Oryzias latipes: one gene and its partners. The protein of the gene in region 1 interacts with the protein of each later gene in a pairwise test. Links are inferred from orthologs where the notes say so. Each region holds a gene or a part of one and is shown in the gene's direction. Other genes may lie near its edges. The genes, in order: creb3l1, FXYD domain-containing ion transport regulator 6, fam3c, mfsd5, slc35b4, tmem11 and 5'-AMP-activated protein kinase subunit beta-2.

Region 1 (2,975 bases):
AAGAGTTACAGCTTTCATTTTGGTGATAAAAGTTTGGTTTGAAAATGATTTCATGGAGTTTTTTATTGTTCCGTTGTGTTCTTCAGAAGCTGCAGGGCTCGGGGCCGCTCATGCTCACAGAGGAGGAGAAGAGAACGCTGGTGGCAGAGGGGTACCCCGTCCCCAACAAGCTTCCCCTCACCAAGAGCGAGGAGAAGGCGCTGAAGAGAGTCCGGCGGAAGATTAAAAACAAGGCAAACTAATTGAAAGAAAAAAAATTCCATCTTACAAAGTTCCTTTTTGGTGACAAATCACATGTTTTTGTTCAGATCTCAGCTCAGGAAAGTCGGAGGAAGAAGAAGGAGTATGTGGACTGTCTGGAGAAAAAGTAAGGCTTTTGATTTTTCAGAAACATTTGTTGGTTAATTCGGTCTGTGGACGCCCAGTTGTTGCATCTGTGAGGTCAGAAGGTGTTTGGGAGATTCACATCTCCTCTGAGCTTCCTTTGGGATCATCCGTTTACAGACCGAGGTTTTCCCTCTCTAGATTTTTATTATTTATCGCTGAAGAATATGGAAAAACCTTCAGCAGATCCAGTTGTGTAATGCTGAAGTGGAGCTGGCAGCAAACGCTCACTTCAGGGCCAGCTTTTGTGTTTGGAGGTTTCCTAACCGTGGCGCGGAATGACAGTACGGCTCTGCTGGGGGGCGGAGCTGGAGGCCGGCGTGGTCACGAATGTTTGAGCGCCCTAACTGAACGAAGATTTCTTCATCATCATCATCAGTCGCCTTTTTAGACCTACCAGACTCATGAAGAGCAAAAAACTTTTTTATTCACTTTGACCTGGTTCCAGGAGTCTGCTGAACACATGGAGCGTCATGAAAAGGAAATCTAAACATGGATTAACATTCCTTTCAGAGTAACAATAATCCTAATCCTGAAGATTTTACACTTAAAATGCCACTTTAATCTGAACTAAAACCTCAGTGACGGAGCAGCTTTCTTTTAGGAATCAATCGAAACGCACACAAACATTTTTATCTGCTTTGTAATCACATTGTGTCTCTGCACTAAAGAAATACCTGCCAAAATATTTATAGTCCAACTAGCACTCCGAGACTATTTTTCAATTATTTAAAAACATTCGCCAAGAAATAATTTTAGTGTAGACTTGTGGTTTTATAAATCCCAACAGAAATAAATTCTTTCCAAGCTTTAATTGCTAGGATCACACAGGAAGTTCATGAAAAACGTGGCGGGGTCAAGAAACACAACATTTTTTTAAAATAAATTAATTTAAAAAAGAGAAACTGTCAAAGAAATACAAACAACAGACTATTTATTTTAGAAGTGGCTGTACCCCATAAAAACAGAGAAAAAAGGCGTTTATTTCATCCAGAGTGTTTGCATCCGTGTCACATGATCACAACAGCCAATCAGATGTCGGAGTTTACGCCGCGCGGAATCCGGAGGAAAGCTCCGCTAATATTAGCAGCTAAATTGAAAAATTGGGAAAGGATCGCTCTGACGTATATTTGAAAACATTTTAGGTGAGTCGAAGTAAAATGTTAAACTTTTGACAGCGATTGTTATAAGTTATTAAAATTAAATTAGAATGTTTTCGTCTCTTTCCCCCCCCGAAATGCTGTTTGTTTTTATAGCCTGTATTAGGATTCTTTAAAAAGTACATTAAATAACTTTCATTGTCTACACTTTTCATATGCTGTTTGGTACAAAAATATTAGTATATAATTTATCAATAAAAAAAGACTAATGATAATGAGTCGAAAAGTAAGATTTGGGATCGATGCAATAAAGAGCAGAGCCACCTAGTGGCGATCTGCTTCAACTGCAGCCTCTAATGAAGGAGATGCAACAAGTTTAGATGTTATTTCACTCTGAATAACGATAACATCAAAGTTTAAATCCGGAAGAACAGTTACCAAATAACAAAATAGGCAGAGGTTCATTTTGAAAGCTTTATTAAAAAAAACTTATAACAAAGATTATGCCTGCAGCAGCAGCAGTTTTATTAGAACACAAACAATAAGTAAAACCGTACAGAACCCCCCCCCCCAAAAAAATGGAGACCATAACAGTTAGGTTTTTTCCTTCTTTTATTTTATCTTTTATAGTCCTGAACACTTGTGGATAAGGGTATGTCGTATAATTTCTGGTACAGGGTCACGGGGGTCGCTGGACTCCATCCCAGCTGTCGTCTGGTCACCACATTAAAGCTTTCGGGACAAACGTCAAGCGGAGGTTAAGAATGGATCTGAATCAGCTCTCGTTTGTTAAAAATATGTAGCTGTTGAGCATCTTTAAGTAATTTAATATGAAGAAAACAATCATGAAGCAGATCGTCCTTTTATTCTCCTTTGAATTATTTATTTACACACTTTATGTAACACGGCACAAGTCGTTTGAAGCATTTTCTTTGTTTGTTTTCTCCTTTTATTCCATGTTAGACTGCATTCAAGTCGACCTAAATGACATATTTGTGGTATTTAAATCCACAGTGTGACATTTTTTTAAAAAGTGTCCCATAAGAAAAACGGAGGTGAAACATTTCCTGTTTCCTTTGAGATGCCTCTGTTTGGAAAAGTCGAGCCCCTGTTTTGGGTTGGTCAGACTTTAACAGAGATGCTGAAGGACGATGTCTGCCTCCTTCAGGGTGGAGAGCTACACGTCAGAGAACGGCGACCTGTGGAGAAAAGTGGAAAACCTGGAGACGGCCAACAGGTGAGGGTCGCGCTTTTCCTCAGAACGCAGATCGAACTGAGCGTGGACGGCTGTGTCACCCCCTCTGTTATTATAACTATATGATCTGCTATTATCCCGGGAGTGGGGGGGTTGCTGGTTAGACGGGTGTGGAGGGGTAGAGGGGTCTGAGGCCTGTCATTAGGCGAGCAGCAGCTTTCATCATGAAAACCAAACCACCTCACAGAGGGGAACAATGAGCTGGGCGCTGAGTCAGAACGGTGAAGTTGAGAGGC
Region 2 (3,500 bases), on another chromosome or scaffold:
TAACCCTCCTGTTATGTTCATTTGTGAGGAACAGAGATGATGTTCCTGGGTCAATAGGATGTATGAGGTATGTTAAGTGTTAAGAGTATGTTAAATGACTCAGAGAATCAGCAAACTTTTTTTACAGTAAGATCTTGAAGGCTAAAAACACAATATTCTATTTTCCAATGATTTTATAGATTCAGAAATGCAATAAAAATGACAACTGTTTCTACAAATACAGGATGAAAACAGAGTATTAGTTGGCCAATGATGCTTCATGAAAGGAATAAATAAATAAGTCTGAGAAAGAATTACTGTGAAATTATGAGATAAACAGTCTGCTATGATTGTGTCATATGAGGTTGTGCAAGTTATTAGTTCTTGGTCTCAGATTTTGTCAAATAAATTTCCCGTCAAAATGCGACTTATAGTCCAGTGCGACTTATCTGTGTTTTTTTCTACTATATAATGCATTTTTGGGCTGGTGCGACTTATAGTCCGGAAAATACGGTATATATTCATTTTCTGTCAAAATCAAAGTATGTTTTCTGTTCTGTTATTTCTTTCTTTTTGCGAGGCGGATTTCCAAAAAAAACTCTGTTTCTGCTCCTGCCTCTTGTCAAATTTTACAACCCTTTGTGGCTCATGAATAAAAAATGTTGCTCAGCCATGTTTTACAACAATCAAGTTTCATAAAAAAAGTTAAATTCAAATATATTTAGGTGAATGTCTTTCGTTTAGCTATCTGTAAAATATAAATACACAAAGACAAAATAAAAAAAAAGCTTTCTTCGGGTGCAAGAAGTAAACACATACCAACTATAGGACATTCAAATGATGAGTTGCTGTTGTCATTGGAAGATACACTTCTAGATTTTCACGACTCATATGCCCTTCCAGCAGTTGCTGGTAAGAACTGGTAAATCTTAAGTTATTTAGACAAATATTTTCTATAGAATAAACACAGCTGATCTGCTTAACAATTGTTGAGAGCAAATTGACAAAGCTTCTGACTAGATCTGTAAAGATAGAAAACAAACAGTCTGAGCAGATTCAGTAAGCCTAAAATAAAACACATCAAACTGTAAACTTGTAAAAAGAGTATCTAATTAAAAAAATGGGGGAAAAAAAATCATATTTGAAACCTCAAAAAAAAAGGAAAATGTTTTCAACATAAAAAGCTACAGTTAAATCCTGAGCCGTACTGATGGAATTAGAGAAACATGGAAAGCAAGCTAGTGAAGAACACGAAAAACTAAATAAGACAAATATGCATTACACATACATTACACTCTGGAAACATGTGCTGGCCGAAATAAAGGAATTCTAAACTGAAACAAAAATAATTATGGAATAAAATAGAGCAGAATAGAAAATATAAAAAATGATAAAGTAAATGCTTGTTAATATGTCTGAAATCAATATTAAATGATGAATTGTGCATGGGCAAGCATCACATCTGATGTGAAAAACAGCAACTGTCTGACTACTGGCAAAGAAATGGACACTCAATGCATATTATAACTGGTCTTACCAAACTATAAAAGCTCCTCATTGAATAAAAATGATGGTTAGAAAATGGGAAAATGATGGAAATCCAAAACTCTTAATGTTAAAAAGATTCTTAAAATCACTTTCAGAGCAAAATCCCCTTTTTGGATATCATTTTGTACTTTTTTATGTACAGAAAAAACCCTGAAATAACACCTAAAGTAGAAAAATTCCAGGGACTTTTCTGAAGTTGGGCCATAGGTCTGTTTTGTTGTTTATTATTAGGCCAAAAATTTCTTTTTCTTTTCTAAAGTCTTATCTTTCTGATTATTTTGTGCCAACAGTTGTCATGGAAATGGCTTTGCTCTTCTTCTCTTCACTCCTGGTGTGCGTGTCAGGTAAGTGCCCATAATCATAAAACACATGCATAGTGCTGCCTCCCTTTTCACCCGTTGTCCACTAGAGGGCAGTTGTTCCTTTATAGGAAATTTGTGCCTCATTGCAAAAAAATTACAGATTTGAGCTCAAAAATACTAATTATTACACTGTTTAGTAAAACTAAATATGCATGACAATAAAGTTGTGTGATGGAAAAAGTGTATATTTGTGTGATCCCTGTTAATAAAGATAGTATAAAAACATAATTTTTCTACAACCATCACATTTCTTTACAATCTGTTTTTGTGTCCCAGCTGTTGCTGACTCAAGTGAAAATGGTGAGTTTTCTGTATTTAGTCTCTAACAGATTTCTAAACAACAGTAAAAAGTTGCATGTTTTGTCCAAAATTGAAAAAGCAGAACAAGAGCAAGATTTATTTTAATGGAATGGCAGCATCCTAATCAATCTAAAAAAAGATGTTAACAATTGTTCAAACATTTCTGTCTAGTCCAGGATGCGCCTGCATACTAAGTCCAGGATGCGCCTGCATACTAGATGTTGCAAATAGAGTACCAAAAATATATACTTATAAAGTAATTATTTGATTCTGCAGGAAATTCACAAAAGTTCACTTTTATTGTACTGTAATTACTGTCTGCTGTTGCAGATAGAAAGTAATTTCAATGAAGCACTTCCTTACAGAACCCTGTATTTGATCTGGACTGTGGACTGGCACAGAGAGACCCAGACTTGGACCCACTTTTGGCTAAATAGTTTGGGAGTGCGAATGGTCTTGCCCTAGGACCCACACTGGATGAAGCTCTGGATATTGAACCCACATTTCCCATGTGCCAGTCCTCAAGTCACTATTCTATTCTATTCTATTCTATATTATTCTATTCTATTCTATTCTATTCTATTCTATTCTATTCTATTCTATTCTATATTATTCTATTCTATTCTATTCTATTCTATTCTATTCTATTCTATTCTATTCTATTCTATTCTATTCTATTCTATTCTATTCTATTCTTCCTAAAACATTATAGTCATATGTAAAACAGAAGGTCCGTTAACTATTTCTGTGAGGGATTAATAGTTGTGGAGAACACAAATGCAAGAGGGCGTCTTGTCAGCGGCAACTTTGATAAATAAATCAGCCTAAACAATTCAAAATAAAATTGAACTAAAACAATAAAACTAAACATTGAACCCGTAACACCATAGATTCTTTTCTGTTACATTTTTATCAATTGGTATAGGTATGTTATGATCTTAAAAAAACGTACTTAGTAGTACGTTTGTAATTCATATAGAGATAAAACAAAGAAGTGCAACAATGTTAGCAAATACTTTAAATGCATTTTACCTAATCAAAATCACAAAGAAATTATGAAAATATTGATCAAAAATCAACTTTCTAATTCTACTGGTTTCTGTAAATTATTTTTCCCTACAGACAACAAAAAGATTGTTGATAACCCTTTTATTTACGGTAAGTAAAAAATGAACCAAAAAATGAAAGCGACCATCAACCATGCGACTTCAACTAGAAGTGTGTTTCTTCCCTCTGCTTTTTTCTTTTTTTGCATTTCTTGTTCATAGACTATGAAAGTTTGAGAATTGGAGGACTGGCCTTTGCTGTGGT
Region 3 (4,108 bases), on another chromosome or scaffold:
TATTACTGAGCTTGTGGCTTAAGTGTGCAAACGGATGATTCTTTCCATAGGATCTTACAGGATTTCACAGGATCAGTGACGCACAGCTCCATTTCCCTGACATGATGAACGCTCATCGTTAAAACCCTCTGCACTAAAAACTAACCGCAAGCCACGCTTTCTTGGAAACGTCCCACCACTTTCATGGAAGCCCCTTTGTGTCAAGTTTTTATTTTTTAATTAATTAAATATTAATGTTATTCATTTTTATTTATTAAGCACAGTTCTCAAGTTTCTTTTGTCTCTCTTTGATTGCTGTATTGGTTTGTTATTGTTTTGTAAGTTTGTGAAAATGAAAAGAAATCTGAAAAATCTTTAAAAACAAGCTGCATTAAAAATCTTGTTGTTTGTTCATTTGGTTATATTTGTCTAAGCTATATTTTTTGTTTTGTAATATTTTTTATCAAATGTTCACAGGATTTCTTAGTAACACATGAAAAAAAAGTTTTATGAAGTAAGGTACTTTTCTTATGCAGTTTCTCAGTTTAACATTTTTCTAAATTTGAACATCTTTTTAATACTTTTTTAACATATATTTTTTATAAAACATCTTTTGTTTAAAATATATCCGCATGGGGAAAAATTCGGTGACAATCATAGGTGGGGGGGGGGGGGGCAATCACTGCACTGTATGTCTCAAAGCTGACCACTAGAGGAGCTACCTCTGTTTCGAAATGACCTTTCAAACAGAAAATACATAGGGAAGAAGAAGCAAAACTCCGTTAAGGATCATATATAGATGTTTTCATGAAAGACGTTTCACTCGTGCAAAGGTCGCAAGACTGCTCAATTTCAAAGCTATTTTCTTAGGCGCATACGGTTAAATCAAAAAGTTAAATGGAGGAAGAATATGTTTCTTTATATAAATATGAACTATAAGTATGTTTGTAGGGAGTTTCCGGATATTTTGTACTTGTACTTAACAGGTAATCTCTAAAAACTTACAAAACAAAAAAAAAGCTTTGAAAAAAAAGCAGTACCCAGGCTTTTTTTAACCGTATTTTGCGATATTGCGTAAATATCTGGTTTATTTCATAGTGTTGAGTTTTTGGCATTTTCTATTTTTTAAACATCAAATTAATATTTTGTAAATAAATTAACAAGGATTTCAATAATGTGTACAGAACTAAATAAACAGACTCATATTTTGGGGGGCTTAAAAGGTAATGAGTTAAAAAAAGAAGCTCAGAAAAGAATCATCTGCGGCAGATGAATCAACCTGATGAAGAATCAACCTGTTTTGTTGTAGCGCGTGCACAGATGACTGCGCGTTATAGTTTTGCAACGGAGTGACACCTCAGGTGTTTGTTTCTCTCCATATCTCAGCTGTCAGGGCAGGAAAAGGAGAGTCTGCTCTGTCGGCGAACCAAGCTTATCAGGGAACGTGTAGTCTTCCGACAGACGGTAAGAAATATAATTGTAGTCTGTAATTCATAGATATGACCATTTTAAAGTTAGACGTTAAGCTGTCTGTGGCAGTTACTAGCGCGACGGCAGGCTAGCTGGGAAACGAATCTCAAAGCGTACGTCACTTTAGTGAGAATATGCTAGAAGTCATCATGCTAACAACTAGTTTATCGAGACAAGAGATAACAGTTAGCATTAGTTGCAGTTTATTTCTGTGTTCCGTCAACTTGGGTCCGATCAGCAACAATACATTTAGTGAACTAACGCATGTTTTTGTTTATTTTGTTTGTTTCTTAATACAGGCTCATAGGCTGGGGGAGAACTGTTACTGTCTGGAAACCCTTCAAGATGGTTAGACCCGGCGGTAAGATAGTTTAATGCGATATAAGTTATTAAAAAAAGACCTTTAGGCTAAACTGGCCTCTTTTCTTGCCTCTCCATAGGTATTTTGAAGGCCGTAACGCTGATCTCAGCCATCCTACTGGTTGCCTTCTTGGCTTTCCAGTTGCTGGAGATAAACGGGGATTTTAAATTTGGAAGTGTGATCTGTAAGTATCCGGGCTATCATTTCCTGATAGTTTTTTTCTTTTTACCCTTTAACAGAAAGAAGTCTGTCAACAGGACTGAATAATTTCACCTAGTTTTGTTCTTCTACTGTACAGAATGTAAAAATTTGCATGTACTCTGTATTTGGGAGAGATGGTAGGAACCGGTTTGTGTCACCAGAACTCCATTACCCACACTGCTTTAGGGGGAATCTGTTCATCGTGGACTTTTAAGTTATGCCATTGTTATTCCTTAAAAAAAAAAAACACTTTTATTTATAAAAAGCAGCTGCAAACACTTCATGTTTATGAAAAGGTGCTTAAAGTTCTGCTTTAGAAATGAATAGTCTATCCATTATTTCCATTAAACACTGAAAGGACTGAAGGTTTGGTTAATAATAAAATAATATTGAGTACTATGACATCTAAATTTGATGAAATAAAGATGTTTAGAAATCCAGAGCTTTTATGTAGCTCAGAAATGTGTCCTTACAAGAGAATAACTTATTTACACTTCTTTTATTTTTCCTTTTTCAGCGAGATCCCTGCCAATGATTGAAGGTTAATATTCCCTAATTATTCTCATTTTAATTTCAAACTTTAGGACGCTGCTTTTTTTTTTTAATTCAAAGCTAAGATTCAGAGCAAACATGATAATATTGATCACTATTGATTGAGTTTTTTTATTTGCAGCGGCAAAACCGGTCAAACACAAATGTGGGCTGTCCAAAGCGTGTCCTCCAGAACACTTTGCCTTCAAGATGGCGAGCGGTGCGGCCAGTGTCGTCGGGCCCAGGATGTGCCTAGAAGACAACTTGTAAGTGGAAAAAAGGCAACTTCCAGGCGATCCGTGGAGCCGTTGTCTCCAGATTTTGGTCAGAAGTTCTGCTCGAGTCATCGTTACCTGAAATCTTTGGTGAAAGGTTTACTTCTGACCGCTAACCTGAGTGTTTACTGCCTCAAGTTTCACTTTGGGTTTGCACTTTATACAAAATCTTGTTAATAATCTTGTTAAAGTGTGTGGCCAAATCGTTTTAAATCACTTCAAGTTTTGTCTTTTTCCTCAAAACCATATGGAAAATTAATTAAAATGAAGGTTTCAGGTTTCAACAGTAATGTTCTAAGGAAAAGCCTAAAAAAATGCTGTAAGTCAATAGTTGGTAAATATGTTCCTGGAATGAAGGAGAGCTGCCTTTTGTGTGGATGTTAATGTTTAGTGTCACTTTTCCATTGAGCCGTGTCTTAATGTGATATGACAAAAGCCGGTTCTTGAAAACACCGACCAGATTGTTTGAAGATTTTTTTTTTTAAGGTCTTGATCTTGTGTTTGCCAGGATCCAATCAATCCACAAGTTCTGCTTTTAGAGTTGTTTATTATTTAATGAAACCCTTTTTTAAAGAGTTGTTCCCTTACAAATTACACACAAATTCCAATTTAGCTGCACTTTTTCTTGAGAGGAGCACCAGGTTACACAGGCTTGTGTTCAAACGATCCTTGTGTAAAGAATGCCTTTTAAATGGGACATTGTGTCTCAGCAGCTGAAGGCGAAAGCGGCCAGACTTCTTTAATAGAGAATGATAGGCATGAGGTGAGATAGAAAAGTTCAAGATTGTACAAACGTGTCTGAAATGCCATGCTCACATCTATTATCACTGTAAACAAGGGAAGTCCTTTTAGAAAAATGCATCTTATTTATTGTGAAGAACCTCATTAAAAGTCACGTATTATTGTAATAATATAAATTTTTTTTTATGGAAATCAGTCGATGTAAAAATGTGTTAAATATAATTTAAAAAAAGGGGGATTTGAGTTTTTTTCTTAGTAACAAAAATAATTTTAGAGTCATTTCATAACGTCCTAAAGTGTCATCAATAGTAACTATCTTCAAAAACTATGTGCTGCTATTCACTTTCTAGCTAAAATGTGTTTAAGTGGTGGTGGTGAAGCTCCGCCTCCACAAACATCGGCCGAACAGGATGTGAGGCTAAATGTCAGCGTCCCTCCTTCTGGATCCCTTCAGGCTGCAGCCTCACGGTGGTTCTGCTCTTGTTTGCAGAATAATGAGCGGCGTGAAGAACAATGTGGGAAGAGGAATCAACATCGCCCTGATTGATGG
Region 4 (4,015 bases), on another chromosome or scaffold:
ACCCAGGGAAAGGAGGACGATCTACTCTGTGCCCAGGCAGGGGCTTCTGCATGTGTTCTCCTGCACCTAAGGTTCCTGGCCCTGTTTCAGGATAGTTGGTGTCAGATTGTCTGAGGGTGGTTGTCCCGTGATTTGCCTCTCTGTGAACAGGGGGCATCTGGAAGGCTCTGACTGGCATTCTCTGGGCTTTGAGTAAATGGTAGAGCTTCTTACCTTTCTTTCCACATTCCCATTACATAACATCATTGTACACAACACACCCACCTCAGCATCCCGCATGCTCACCCTTGCACAACATTTGCATGCACACAGGTATGACATTATGTGTTGCATGTGTCTCTGTGTGTGCGTGTATACAATCAATGTGCGTGAGTTCTTCTGTATGTCCAAAATATAAATGAGTTTGACATGTTTATGATGGTTTTTGCAGTTTTGTGTGCCGTTTGGGTGTGTGCTTGAGTATAAAAAGCCTTTGGTTAATCTGTGTTAGCAATAATGATAAACATTTAGCAATTTTTTATGCCTCTTTTTCTATCCCCATTTTTAGCGTTGCCTTGTTGTGAACAGCTCCCCCATACACACACACAAACACACGCACACCCACACACACACACACACACACACACCCACGCACACCCACACACACACACACACACACACACACACATACAACATACTATAACTCCTCTCTTTATTCCTCTATCCTTTTATATTCAGTCCAACACTTAAAACAAGTACAATATGCCTATATAAGAATTTATATATATACAGAAATACATATTAAACAGTACAGACCAAACTGTACTGTACTGTATATTAAATACAAATACACACCTTTTATATCCTAAAGATCAAAAATGGAACAGAAAAAACGTGAGAAAAGTGCATGAAGGTTTCTGAAACCGTTTAAAATTGTCACCAAGTAGTCTGAGTATACTTGAAAATTGCTATTTTATTCACATGGAATATGAAAGTTTCTATTTATAGAATCTGCATGCGTCTCAAACAAAAGCAAAACACACACAACTTTCCAGGAATAAATACTGTATTCCATTTCATCATTTCAATGTTTAAAATGATACGATAGAGGATATTATTAGTTATGTATTCAATGATTGCATCTCTAGGAAATGGGTGTTCACCGGCGTCAAGCACCTGCTCTCCAACCAAGCACCAACAGAACACCAAACAGAAGATCCACGGCTGCCCCCTGGTGGCGTAATAGTAGTAAGCACCAAATCCAGGAAGTGAATGTTTTAACGTGTGTACTGATTCTGCTTCCTTCTCGTTCAAAGCTGATGCTTGCAAGGGGACTTGCTTGATATGGGACGGCTGTCAAAAATCACGGTAGGACTGGTTACGTTGGAAAATGTTGTATTGGGATAGAAATCTAAAGATGGCGGTGCCACTCATTTAGTCAACTTATTTTGCACTAGCATGCAGCTAACGTTAGCTAATAGCAAACGGTCGGGGTTCACTACTTTCTTTCAATTTCTAAATTAATTAGCAGTGTTTAAGTTACCGAAATTGTCAGTGTTAAACTGTCATAGACAACTAAAGTAAAGGTTAGCTAATCCACATTTAATTATGCGCTGCATTGTATAATTAAAAATCTTGTTTTTTTTGGTGTTTTTAAAATGTGGCATTTTTCTCACGATGGACTACTAGTAGGATATGTAAGAAATTGAAGATTAAAGCTGTATTTCTGGGTATGTCTTTATTCAATTTGTTGTGAATCAAGAGCAGACGATAAAAATGCCGAAGCCTCTAGCTGTGACGTAGTTGATACTTTCGGGCCACAAGCTTCCTGCTCTGCTCAATTCTGATGCATCCCCTTATACGACCATGTACGTCTTGTTTTCTTCGTCTGGGCAGGCATCTGGCTCAAAAATGTACACCTGGATAGCTCAGATATTGCTCCGCATTTTTGTTGCACTGTTAGTGTTAGGTTATGGGTTGTAAACTACTTGGAGATGGTGTCAACACATGGATGACAGGAAGTGGGGGCAGGCTTACCCTGCGGCAACAGTCTTGCCCACAACTCGGAGGTGAATTTCTGATAAATTCCTGCTGATCTGCAGAAACTATGTCCTTAAAGAAGACAGGTTTTTTATTTTGACTAAAACATTATAATCAAAGTGAAAAGACCACCAGGAACGCTTTTAGAATAGATAAATATATGATTAAAGTGGGTCATAAAGACACATTCAAGTCTAATGTTTAATTTTCCCTTCCTGTAGGGGCTGAGGAGCAGACGGAATAGAATTGGAACCACATCAGTTTCCCTGTTTTAACCTCAAGCGGATGCAGTCTCTGCCACCATGCTGGTCACAGCTTATCTCGCCGTCATTTTCCTGCTCGCCCTGTGTGTTGGCCTGGAGCTGACAGCACGCCGCATCACACCGCCTGAGTCCACTCCATCAGCTGTGGCTAACCCAGCTTTCCGGCGTTTCCAGAAAATCTTCCTGAGGGCTTACCTTTTGGCTCTGTGGGCAGACTGGCTCCAGGGCCCCTATCTCTATAAACTCTATCGCCACTACAGCTTCCTGGAGTCCCAAATAGCCATTTTGTACGTGTGTGGCCTGGCTTCGTGTGTTTTGTTTGCTCCCTTCTCGGGCTGGCTACCTCAAGCCTTGGGCCGCAGACAAACCTGCCTTCTCTTCTGCCTGTGCTACTCTGCTTGCTGCCTCACAAAGCTTTCCAGAGACTACTTTGTTTTGATTGTGGGCCGTATTTTGGGGGGCCTGTCCACATCCCTGCTTGCTACCACATTTGAAGCCTGGTATGTGCACCAGCATGTAGAAGTCCAGGATTTTCCAAAGGAATGGATCCCCAGCACGTTCACCAGAGCTGCTACTTGGAATCACGGCCTTGCTGTGGGAGCTGGGTTGGTGGCCAACTTGCTGGCTGAGTGGCTCCACTTGGGCCCAGTGGCTCCATTTCTCCTGGCTGTCCCCTGCCTGGGCTGCTGTGGCTGGGTGGTGCTAACAGACTGGGGGAAGGAGGAAGCTGAAGGCTGTCCTGAAGGGGACAAAAAGACTCTACTACTTGGTACTCAAAATGGAGGTGGTCCCCGTTTAACTGCAAAAGGCAGGTTCTCGCGAAGCTGCCATGAAGGGCTGCGTTGTTTGCTGTCAGACAAAAGAGTTCTCCTTTTGGGTGGAGTACAAGCTCTGTTTGAAAGTGTTCTTTACATCTTTGTTTTTCTATGGACTCCAGTTCTAGACCCTCATGGGCCTCCTTTGGGAATAGTTTTCTCTTCCCTGATGGCTGCAAGTATGGTCGGCTCCTTGCTGTACCGCCTTGCCACTTCCACTCACTACCATCTGCAGCCTGGTCACGTGCTCTGCCTCGCTGTTCTGATGGCATTCTTCTCCTTTTTCATGCTAACCTTTTCTACTGCACCAGGACAGCCGAGACCACACGAATCTTTCTTGGCCTTCCTCCTGCTGGAGCTGGCCAGTGGTCTGTACTTCCCAGCAGTCAGCTTTCTGCAGGGCAGAGTGATTCCAGAGGAAAAGCGAGCCGGTGTGTTGGCCTGGTTCCGGTTGCCATTGCACCTGCTGGCCTGCCTGGGACTCCTGGCGCTCCACGGGGAAGTATCAGGAATGGGTGGAGGAGAAGGCGGGGGTGGCACTAGACATATGTTTGGAGGCTGTGCCGTCATGATGCTGGCAGCACTGATGGCTGTCGTGAGTCTTTTCACTCTGGGTAGAAACGATGCTGACCTGAGACTTGAAGGAACCAGAGGAGATGGGGAGATGTTTTAAGAACTGGAAACATTCAAAACCTGGACTCCACAGTTCAGAAGGGCACATTTTGATGATAAAACATAAAAGAAAATATGTTGGGTAAGTTCGTATTTTGCCAAAGAAGGAGATTGACAACCTCCTAAAAGGCTATAGGGTTAGTTTACATTTTATTTCACATCACTTGTTACCGTTTGGTTCTTTATTTAAGAAAAACTGTAAACACATGTAAAGCAAAATACTTGGGATTCAACCAGGAAACTGGA
Region 5 (2,163 bases), on another chromosome or scaffold:
CTATAACGTGAGTTTTCCCTTCCACCATCGAGGTAACAATGACCACACAACTTTATTCAGGAGAAATCTGCATTTCTGTTTGCAGCACTGCCTGCCCCTGCCGGGGTTCCTGCTTCTTTCTACAGACATCTACAACTATTGCAACCATTTTAGCCAGAGCAGTGAGTGTTTTGAGCCGTTCAGATGAGCTTTTGGTTTGGACTATATCAGATGTAATTGGTGGTGATTGTTTCCTGACAGCTCCTGTACTCGTTCCTGTGGTGGGACTGACCGTACCAATCATGTGGATCTACCTTCTAATCAACGTTATCACACAGTATCCGTCAGAAAAACAAAAAAAGTACTTTTTTCAACCTTGTTTGTATACCTTACTGAAGTTGAAATGTTCATCCTATTTATTATTTATTTAGGCGTCTGTAAGTACACGCAGTAAAACATTTTCTTTGAAGTTGCCGTATATGTATAGGTAATGCAAATAATAATAATTTCACTTACCGGTATGTATTTTTGGTTGATAGAGTATTTCTGCCCCAACTAAAACGTCCTAAGAACAAAGTCACTTTAAATAAAGTTTTTGTCTTCACTTCATCTAAAAAAAAAAAAAAAACTTATTTAAAGATACATAGATGTATGTATTTTGTAGTTTGTTGCCTCTTAATTTTCTTTAAAAACAACTTAATTTTAGATTGGGGGAAAATATTTCAATCTTTAAACATCATGACGGCTTTCTCTTAAGAGTTCTATTAATTTTTTATCGTCAGCTCTTTATTTTAAATTAAAGACCCCGCGCTAGACAAACATAATGACATACAATCTTTGCATATTTTCCATCCTTTTTTCTCCTTCCGTATGACTGCTAAAGACTTTAACCGTTTCTCCAGATATGTCTGTATTCGGGGAGTTTTTGTCTTGACCACAGAGTGCACGTCGCTGACGGTCACCTTAGTGGTGACGCTACGAAAGTTCCTCAGCCTCATTTTCTCCATCATTTACTTCCAAAACCCCTTCACTGCGTGGCACTGGTTGGGCACGTTCGTGGTCTTTGTGGGGACTCTGCTTTACACCGAGGTGCTGAGCAGCATCCAGGCAGCTCTCCGGGGAACCGGAACGAAGAAGGCGGAGTAATACAGCAAGCCTGGAGGATGGGAAAATGTTCCCCATGTTGGGCTTTTTAATACACCCACAGCTATTTTTATAAAATTAGTTATTTTGCTGTGGTTCTTCAATCAAGTCAGTCAAAAGGTTTCACTAAAAACAAATTGTCATATTTTCCATTTATAAATATGGATTGAATCATGTTTGTAGTTTTCATAATTCTGAACGTGTTAGGATGTTCTTTGTGTGGTCGACACTCCAACTCAAAAAGTACATAAGTATCTGTAAATTATGTATTATTTCATTTGCAAAAGGATTTCTTGACCTTTACTGTGCCTCTGTAACCTTATAAAAATAGATGTGCTCAAGTATGTGTTGTTTAGCTCTGTGTCTGATATGAAAGAGGTGGACAGTTTGTCCTGAGTCCAAATCTTAAAAAAAGTTTTTAAATGACTGTGTGCAATATGGATTTCACCAAACCAACTGTATAAACAATTTCAGCCATGTTTGTTGTTTTTCTGTCTGAGCGTTCCCAATAGTCTTTTAATTATGATCATGCTGTTTTTAGTCAAAATTTAAATAAAAAAACTGTAATTTACATAGTTTCTGGAGAGAAGTAGCAGTTTGTTGCAAATTTGTCCCAAAGTTGTGAGCAGGGGCGTTGGTGAAGAGCAACCCTGCTCCCCTTTACACAATCTCCCACTGGCTTACAGCCATTCATACCCACAACCTAACTTTATCGGTGCAATGAAATGGCAAGCAATATCAGAGCTATCCAGCCGTACATTTTTGTGCCAGATACCAGCACGGACAGGACAAAGACGTACATGGACCTATTTGTCTGCAAGTGGATGCATCAGTATGGAGCAGAGCACAGAGCTTTTGGACCCCCCAGCACATTTTCTACATAAAAAATATGATCTTTTTTAAGCCGTATTTGTTGGACTGCACCTGGTTGAATTTATACAATGCCAATATTCTTTTTAAATGTTGGTGTGTTTAGTTTATATAACAATTCAGCTTTTTTTTATATACTTATTTGCTTAACTTCCTGTCATCCCAACTAAT
Region 6 (3,936 bases), on another chromosome or scaffold:
ACAAAATGAGGAAAAAATCCAGAAAATGACATTGAGCAATATTTAAAGAACTTGTTTGCTAATTATGGTGGAAAATAAGTTTTTGGTCACCTACAAACAAGTACGATTTCAGGCTCTCACAGACCTGTAACTTCTAACTAAGGAAGAGGATCCTTTGTCCTCCACTCATTACCTGTATTAATTTCACCAGTTTGAACTGGTTATCTATATAAAAGACTCTGTCCTCAAACAGAAACATTTCAAACTCCACTATGTCCAAGACCAAAGAGCTGTCTGAGGACACCAGAAACCATATTGTTGACCTGCACCAGGCTGGGAAGACTGAATTTGCAATAGGTAAGCAGCTGGTGTGAAGAAATCAACTGTGGGAGCAATTATTAGAAAATGAAAGACATGAAAGACCACTGACAATCTCCCTCTATCTGTGGCTTCCCGCAAGATCTCACACCGTGGGATCAAAATGATCACAAAAATGGTGAACTTAAATCCCAGAACCACACAGGGGGACCTAGTGAATGACCTGCAGAGAGCTGGGACCAAAGTTTCAAAGGCTACCATCATAGAAGTGTCCCCCTGCTAAAGCCAGTACATGTGCAGGTCCGTCTAGAGTTAGCTAGAGAGCATTTGGATGATCCAGAAAAGGATTGGGAGAATGTCTTATGGTCAGATGAAACCAAAATAGAACTTTTTGGTAAGAACTCTACTCATTGTGTTTGGAGGAGAAAGAATGCTGAGTTGCATCCAAAGAACACCATGGCTACTGTAAAGCATGGGGGTGGAAACATCATGCTTTGGGGCTGTTTTTCAGCAAAGGGACCAGGATGACTGATCCATGTAAAAGAAAGATGGAGCGGTTCTCCCACAAACATATTTTTATGCAACACATCTTCCAACATCATAATGTTTGCACCCATATATTGTCATATTGTAGATACATGGCAGCAAATGTGAATATGTATTCCAAAGGGTTGTTTTTTTCCTGTGATACACTTTATGATCAAAATAACAAATTATACAGTTTTATATAGTTTACAACACAAATCTGTGGTTTTTAGCTTGCAAATACTGTTTGAGTTGAAAACCTTTATGCGTTAAGTAGGCTGACTTGTAATTTATAGGACAGAGAACGTGTAAATCTTAAGCAATTGTAAATGTCTCGAGAACGTTTCACACACGCAATATTTACAAAAGAAATATTCCTGGTTTTGTGTGTGTTCAGAAGTGACGCATGCGTTATCCACCAGGCTGTAACGTTACTGTTCCTGGCACAGCGTCGATATTATCCAGAGGGCGTCAGGTTACAGCAGAGGCAGCTCGCATCGCCGCACCAACGGACAGAGGTACAATATGGGTAAGTCTGCAAAAATAGGAAAGCTAGACGGTGTAGAAATAAATAATATGATAAAGGAAATATCATAAACCTGCTTGCATCATCTTATATACATTTTACATTAAAATACGATCACGTTTTTATTTTTAACGGTTTTACAAATAAAGCAAACGTACCTTTAATATATATATATTTTTTAAGAAATAAATAAACTTGTAAAATGTGGTCTGACCTCCCGAATTTCAGTGTGCTATTACAAAATATACACAGTATAGACGCATTTAATGAAGCATCACGGGAGATGTAGTCCAATTAGACTAGTCTGTCATTAACTCGGAACTACTTACAAACAGCAATATCCAGAATGCTGTTCGCTTTCATACGTCAAAGGAAATCACAGTTGCATCCCCAACATGGCGTCGCTCGGAAGGAGGCGCGGTGTCCCAATAAGCAGGGAGAGGTCAGTTACTCCACATTTTACTGTTTAAGCAAGAATATTTTGGTGGGGTACATTTCTTTGTCGATGTCAAAGTTCATGGGTTTTCCGACATGCACATTGGCCAAGTTTAAAAGTCAAACGGCAGCGAAGAAAGTTATAATTTCAACCCCATTAGCTCTCGTTAGCTGGCTAACGTGAATTCTTAGCTAACGCTAAGGGAAACAAACTAGATGCTCATGTGATATTTTGATTACATTTAAGCCAGTCGCTTAACTTAGAAAAGAACTGCTGATCACTAAAAACTGTCACGAACACGCGTTATTGTTAATGCTCACATTTTTTCAGAAATGTAGGTCAAAGGCAATTGTGTGCTGTCGACCTGCTACAAAAAAACGATCTTGAACTGTTGCTGTTCTGTCTCTCAACTTTACACCACGCGAGCAAGTTAGCTCGTGTGCCGTACATCGCCATCCTAAAACTGAAATCATTGTCAAGTAGAACATCATTCTCTCCACTCCTCGACGACGCTGATGACATATGTGAGTCAACGAAGAAGATGATCCACCAAGACTAATTTTATTTTTTCAGATAAATTTTCGAAATACTGAATTTCAGGAGAGTTTTCCCCAAACAACTCACCTTAAACCCTGTTAAAGTTCTTCAATATGAATTTCCTAATGTTATATTGTAGCCAAAAGTGCGTTTTGGGGCACTACCTCCTGCATTTGCACACATTTTTCTAAAAATGTTTGCATTTACAAAAAGGCAAGTTTCCTAATTGAACTTTTGGTTGGGTCAGCAGTGCTTTGTAATTAATACAATTCAAAATTCAAGTGGTTTAAAATGAGAGAAATATGATCAATATTTATCCAATTAGCTGGCAAACACAGTCACATCCTTTAATGCTGTTCCACAATGAAAGGATTTGGATTTATCTGCTGAACTTCTGAACCTTGGATTCTTTTGAAAACTTTTAACTATGTTTTGGCATGTTAAGGAAAGCAGAATTAAGTGACTATTCATGCATAATTTTCTAAATACACTCTCTTTTGTTGGCCGCACAGACCTGGAAGAAAGGTTAGAACTATGGTTAGGTTAATACATGCGACCAACAGCAACATGCAGCCTTGGACGCACTTAAAATCAGTGCAGCAATGTGCATTTTTGCCGCATGTATTATGTGTGGCTGACATGAATTTCCATCAGTTTTTGAGTTTGCTCACACGTAAATACATGTGAATAACAAGCAGTAAATGGTCAAATGTAAGGCTAACAAGCTAAAGATAAAGCATGGTTCCCCAAGTTCCTACGCGATCATTTGATGTTTTTTCTTTCATATGCCAACTTACTTTAAGTTCAGCTAGACATAAAATACCAAACACACCCTTAAATGTCTTTGTTTTATTCTCTTGCAATGCTGCTTGCCTTTGATTGTTTATCACTTTTTCTCCTTTTTGTGTACAGGGGAGTAATGGCGGCGTCGGATTGCTACATAGTGCATGAGATCTACAATGGGGAGAATGCACAGGACCAGTTCGAGTATGAGCTTGAGCAAGCTCTGGAGGCCCAGTATAAATACATTGTTATTGAGCCCACGCGGATCGGAGATGAGACAGCCCGTTGGATTACGGTGGGAAACTGTCTGCACAAGACGGCAGTGTTATCAGGCTCTGCCTGCCTCCTGACACCGCTTTCACTGCCTGCTGAATACTCGCGGTATGTGGCGTTGCCCGCCGGCGCCCTCAGCGTGGCGTGCGCTGCCCTCTACGGGATATCGTGGCAGTTTGATCCTTGTTGCAAATACCAGGTGGAATACGACAGCCAAAAACTTTCGCGGCTGCCCCTGCACACGTTGACCTCCTCTACTCCGGTGGTGTTGGTACGCAGGGACGACGTCCACAGAAAGAGACTCCATAATACGATAGCACTGGCTGCCCTGGCATATTGTGCCAAGAAGATCTATGAACTCTATGCAGTATGAGTGCACCGAAGAAGATTTACGTACCAACAAAAAAAAAAGGAGAAAAACTAATTAGATAAAGAAAACAGAAGCTACCCCACCCCACCCCTCACTGTAAGAAAATGGAAGTGAAGACGGGAGCAAAGGTTAGCTCCTCTGGAATTGGTTTTTCCTGCGTTGGTCAGAGGGATATAGTTAAACTAGAAA
Region 7 (2,980 bases), on another chromosome or scaffold:
TTTGCAGCCGGTGGTAACCAGCCAGCTGGGAACGATCAACAACCTGATCCAGGTGAAGAAGTCTGACTTTGAGGTGTTTGACGCGCTGCAGGTGGACTCCCTGGAGTGCTCGGACACATCAGGTGCGTCTCCTGTGATAGATCTTGTTCTCTTGCTGCTCGCCTAAATAGATTGGTACATTTTCGGCCTTGAACACATCTTCATGTCTCCAGACTTGTCCAGCTCGCCTCCAGGTCCGTACGGACAAGAGCAGTACATCTTCAGACCCGAAAAGCACTTCAAAGCCCCTCCGATTCTCCCCCCTCACCTGCTTCAAGTCATTCTTAACAAGGACACCAACATATCAGTCAGTGTTTTACGTTTTCTCAGTGATTCATCCTTTTACTGTCAATTCCGTCTGCTTCCATGTTGCTGTTGTTTCTCTGAACAATAATCTTTGTGTTTTTTTTTGGTCTCTGCACTTCAGTGTGACCCTGCTCTGCTGCCTGAACCCAACCACGTCATGCTAAATCACCTTTACGCTCTCTCAATAAAGGTACATTCACTGTTACAATGTTGCTTTTAGACAGAATTTTCCATTTAAATTGGAAAATATATATATATTTTTTATCTGCCTCTTTGCCTCATCTTTTTAGTTTTCCTCAGTGTCGCTGAGTTGAATTTTGATCGTGACAGTTTTGGTTCTAGTTTGTCTTCATTTAATTAGCCCTGGACTGCAAGGACCTGATTGTTTTTACAGTTCTTCTTTCTTACTGCATGTTTTGGTGAAAATGTCACCCCTGCCACATTCTCAAAAACTCCCCAAACTTTGCACACGACACCTCCACCTCCAAAAAATGATGACATGACAGCAGGCGAAACTGTCAAAAAATGAAAGGAGGCAAAAAAAAAAAATCAACAAAACCAAAACACACGAGTCGGGGCTATCCAAAGGAAGTTTTGAAATTATTATTGGATGGCCACAGAACCATGAGGAGTATGAAATTAGGCGTTTTAAGTCTGCTACCCAAACCAAAGTGTTGTTGACCTTTGACCTTGAAAAGAGGCAGCTTTTTTATATTTTCCACAAAAAAATGGGCGGACGATGCAGTTTTAACTTTGTATTATTTTTGCAATTTCTTTTCTTCCAGAGTTGCAGCTCTTGAACCCTTTTGTTTTTTTTTTTCTTCTGTGTAGGATGGAGTGATGGTGCTAAGTGCTACTCACAGATACAAGAAGAAGTATGTCACCTCTCTGCTGTACAAACCCATCTAACCCGTCTTCAGATGCTCAGAGAGAGCAGCGTGTTCGTTTTCTTTTCAGTTTGCCATCACTTATAGACAGGAGTTGCACTGAAACATGTTTACAGGCTGCTCCAAAGAAAGCCGCACTTCTACACAGGGCTCTGAACAACGGTACAGGGTGTGGGGTTTTGGTAAAAGAAGACAACTCTACTACGGCTTTAGCTGGTGACATCTCCTTGCCGATGAGCCTGATTAAATCACTGCGTGGTGTTTGTATGTTTTCACATTTGATTGTGTGATTGTAGTTTTTAGATGACAGTAAACGGTCTGTTTTTTTTGTTGTTTCTGCTGCGTTTGCGTTGTTACTTTTTTTATGTCGCTCGCTGAATGTAAACAGAACGACAGGTGACCTTTTGTTAAGGTGAAGTGCAATAGTGGGTCATGAAATCATCTGTGAATTCTGTTTGAGCCAAAGGCTTGTATTCCTGTTTTTGTTTTGGCAGCCGTGATGCCCAGCTTAGTCCAGAGCTACAGTTGTAGCCATTTCTTTTTCTTTTTCACTAGTAGCTCTTTTTTTTCCACACAGGAAGTGGTCTAAAGTCTTTGCTTAGCTGCTGCTTTTATTCTGATGAATGTTTGTAAGCATTATCGTTGATACAAGCTATAACTATGCAGTAAGTAGCCTTTGCATTGTATTGTCTTCCATCTAATTAGTGTGTTCTCACATTTGTCTGCTTTGTTAAAGAAAAACTATCGTACTGTATCTGTGTGTTACACGTGTGGAGCTGCTTAAAGGTCTGTCTGCGCTCACATTTCAGTTTCATAGATGTTGTGAATACATTGATGTTGAGAAATGAAGAGAACCTAGGAGAGCTTTGATGATGACTGGTTGCCATTTATTTAAATTTTATATGTAAGACACACCCGTGTTTTGGTTCTGAGCTGCTGGTTCCTGCGTATGAATGCTCACAACTCTTCAAACATCAAGGAGAATCTCTCGGAGGTATGTTAGAGTATTCTGTGAATGTTAAGCCGGGCTTTTATTTTCTAAAAGCTCGGCTTTATTTTTTAAAACTAAGATTTGATAAAGGAGTTTGGAAAAGAGCCATGGATCCAGGGCTTTTAGGGCTAAAACCAAAACTTGAATTTTGCAGCTATACTTGATAAATCTATGAAAATGCTTAGCATAAACAATGTGGTAATCCTCTATAGAAGATTGTACTGTACTGCAAATAAATACACTACTCTGATCCTAATGCCACTCTCTTGGTCATTTCTTTTTCAATGAAACAGATTTTCCAAATGGTTGTTTCTAAAGTGCAGCTCTGGTAAAGGGTTTGTGGAAGTGATGGTCTTTTGTGGCATGTACTTCCCTGAATTAATGCTCAAACTTTGTTTAGCAACAATGCAACTAGTTAAAATCTAAAAGATTGAAACTTAAATCAATGAGAAATGAAACGAGAAAACAACTTTTTCAACTGTTTTATTCTCTCAAAGGCCTTGATTTCTAAGACAACACACCAAAATTAGCATTCATGTGTCTTGCATCAGCTCTCGCAGCCTAAAAAGCTTTATATACATATGCAACTTCAAACCAATCAAACATTTCAAATGGTTTTCTTCCCTTTATTTTTATTTTTTAGAAACAAATAGTAAAAAGTTTTTGTTTGTATTTAACAAGGTGACATTTCTCTGTCATTCAGAAGCTGGCTTTTTAGTTTTAGAAGTCACCACATAATGTAACGTTAATTGATTCA

The links.
Region 2: the proteins of creb3l1 (region 1) and FXYD domain-containing ion transport regulator 6 interact in binary tests that used the Homo sapiens proteins (3 or more experiments, as listed by UniProt). The two-hybrid records come from large-scale screens. The link is inferred for Oryzias latipes from reciprocal best matches to the Homo sapiens genes CREB3L1 and FXYD6.
Region 3: the proteins of creb3l1 (region 1) and fam3c interact in binary tests that used the Homo sapiens proteins (3 or more experiments, as listed by UniProt). The two-hybrid records come from large-scale screens. The link is inferred for Oryzias latipes from reciprocal best matches to the Homo sapiens genes CREB3L1 and FAM3C.
Region 4: the proteins of creb3l1 (region 1) and mfsd5 interact in binary tests that used the Homo sapiens proteins (3 or more experiments, as listed by UniProt). The two-hybrid records come from large-scale screens. The link is inferred for Oryzias latipes from reciprocal best matches to the Homo sapiens genes CREB3L1 and SLC61A1.
Region 5: the proteins of creb3l1 (region 1) and slc35b4 interact in binary tests that used the Homo sapiens proteins (3 or more experiments, as listed by UniProt). The two-hybrid records come from large-scale screens. The link is inferred for Oryzias latipes from reciprocal best matches to the Homo sapiens genes CREB3L1 and SLC35B4.
Region 6: the proteins of creb3l1 (region 1) and tmem11 interact in binary tests that used the Homo sapiens proteins (3 or more experiments, as listed by UniProt). The two-hybrid records come from large-scale screens. The link is inferred for Oryzias latipes from reciprocal best matches to the Homo sapiens genes CREB3L1 and TMEM11.
Region 7: the proteins of creb3l1 (region 1) and 5'-AMP-activated protein kinase subunit beta-2 interact in binary tests that used the Homo sapiens proteins (3 or more experiments, as listed by UniProt). The link is inferred for Oryzias latipes from reciprocal best matches to the Homo sapiens genes CREB3L1 and PRKAB2.

Annotation. Positions count from the first base shown.
Region 1 is NC_019860.2:23,113,825-23,116,799, forward strand, and holds part of creb3l1 (cyclic AMP-responsive element-binding protein 3-like protein 1), read left to right. Parts: intron 1-86; coding exon 87-233; intron 234-308; coding exon 309-367; intron 368-2,652; coding exon 2,653-2,721; intron 2,722-2,975.
Region 2 is NC_019871.2:15,102,223-15,105,722, reverse strand, and holds part of FXYD domain-containing ion transport regulator 6, read left to right. Parts: intron 1-1,817; 5' UTR 1,818-1,822; coding exon 1,823-1,871; intron 1,872-2,165; coding exon 2,166-2,189; intron 2,190-3,311; coding exon 3,312-3,347; intron 3,348-3,457; coding exon 3,458-3,500. UniProt on the Homo sapiens protein: Associates with and regulates the activity of the sodium/potassium-transporting ATPase (NKA) which catalyzes the hydrolysis of ATP coupled with the exchange of Na(+) and K(+) ions across the plasma membrane.
Region 3 is NC_019881.2:16,839,307-16,843,414, forward strand, and holds the start of fam3c (protein FAM3C), read left to right. Parts: upstream 1-1,308; 5' UTR 1,309-1,443; intron 1,444-1,517; exon of another isoform or gene 1,518-1,562; intron 1,563-1,748; 5' UTR 1,749-1,794; coding exon 1,795-1,810; intron 1,811-1,889; coding exon 1,890-1,994; intron 1,995-2,528; coding exon 2,529-2,552; intron 2,553-2,684; coding exon 2,685-2,808; intron 2,809-4,048; coding exon 4,049-4,107; intron 4,108-4,108. Other genes in the region: sortilin-like, read left to right, coding at 51-105. UniProt on the Homo sapiens protein: May be involved in retinal laminar formation. Promotes epithelial to mesenchymal transition.
Region 4 is NC_019865.2:12,565,901-12,569,915, reverse strand, and holds the start of mfsd5 (molybdate-anion transporter), read left to right. Parts: upstream 1-1,215; 5' UTR 1,216-1,347; intron 1,348-2,240; 5' UTR 2,241-2,321; coding exon 2,322-3,770; 3' UTR 3,771-4,015. UniProt on the Homo sapiens protein: Mediates high-affinity intracellular uptake of the rare oligo-element molybdenum.
Region 5 is NC_019864.2:13,508,418-13,510,580, forward strand, and holds the end of slc35b4 (UDP-xylose and UDP-N-acetylglucosamine transporter), read left to right. Parts: coding exon 1-7; intron 8-85; coding exon 86-161; intron 162-240; coding exon 241-316; intron 317-881; coding exon 882-1,125; 3' UTR 1,126-1,663; downstream 1,664-2,163. UniProt on the Homo sapiens protein: Antiporter that transports nucleotide sugars across the endoplasmic reticulum (ER) membrane in exchange for another nucleotide sugar.
Region 6 is NC_019866.2:14,557,044-14,560,979, forward strand, and holds the start of tmem11 (transmembrane protein 11, mitochondrial), read left to right. Parts: upstream 1-1,136; 5' UTR 1,137-1,151; coding exon 1,152-1,351; intron 1,352-1,685; exon of another isoform or gene 1,686-1,743; coding exon of another isoform or gene 1,744-1,790; intron 1,791-3,233; coding exon 3,234-3,750; 3' UTR 3,751-3,936. UniProt on the Homo sapiens protein: Plays a role in mitochondrial morphogenesis.
Region 7 is NC_019875.2:22,984,605-22,987,584, reverse strand, and holds the end of 5'-AMP-activated protein kinase subunit beta-2, read left to right. Parts: intron 1-7; coding exon 8-122; intron 123-212; coding exon 213-346; intron 347-466; coding exon 467-535; intron 536-1,176; coding exon 1,177-1,254; 3' UTR 1,255-2,480; downstream 2,481-2,980. UniProt on the Homo sapiens protein: Non-catalytic subunit of AMP-activated protein kinase (AMPK), an energy sensor protein kinase that plays a key role in regulating cellular energy metabolism.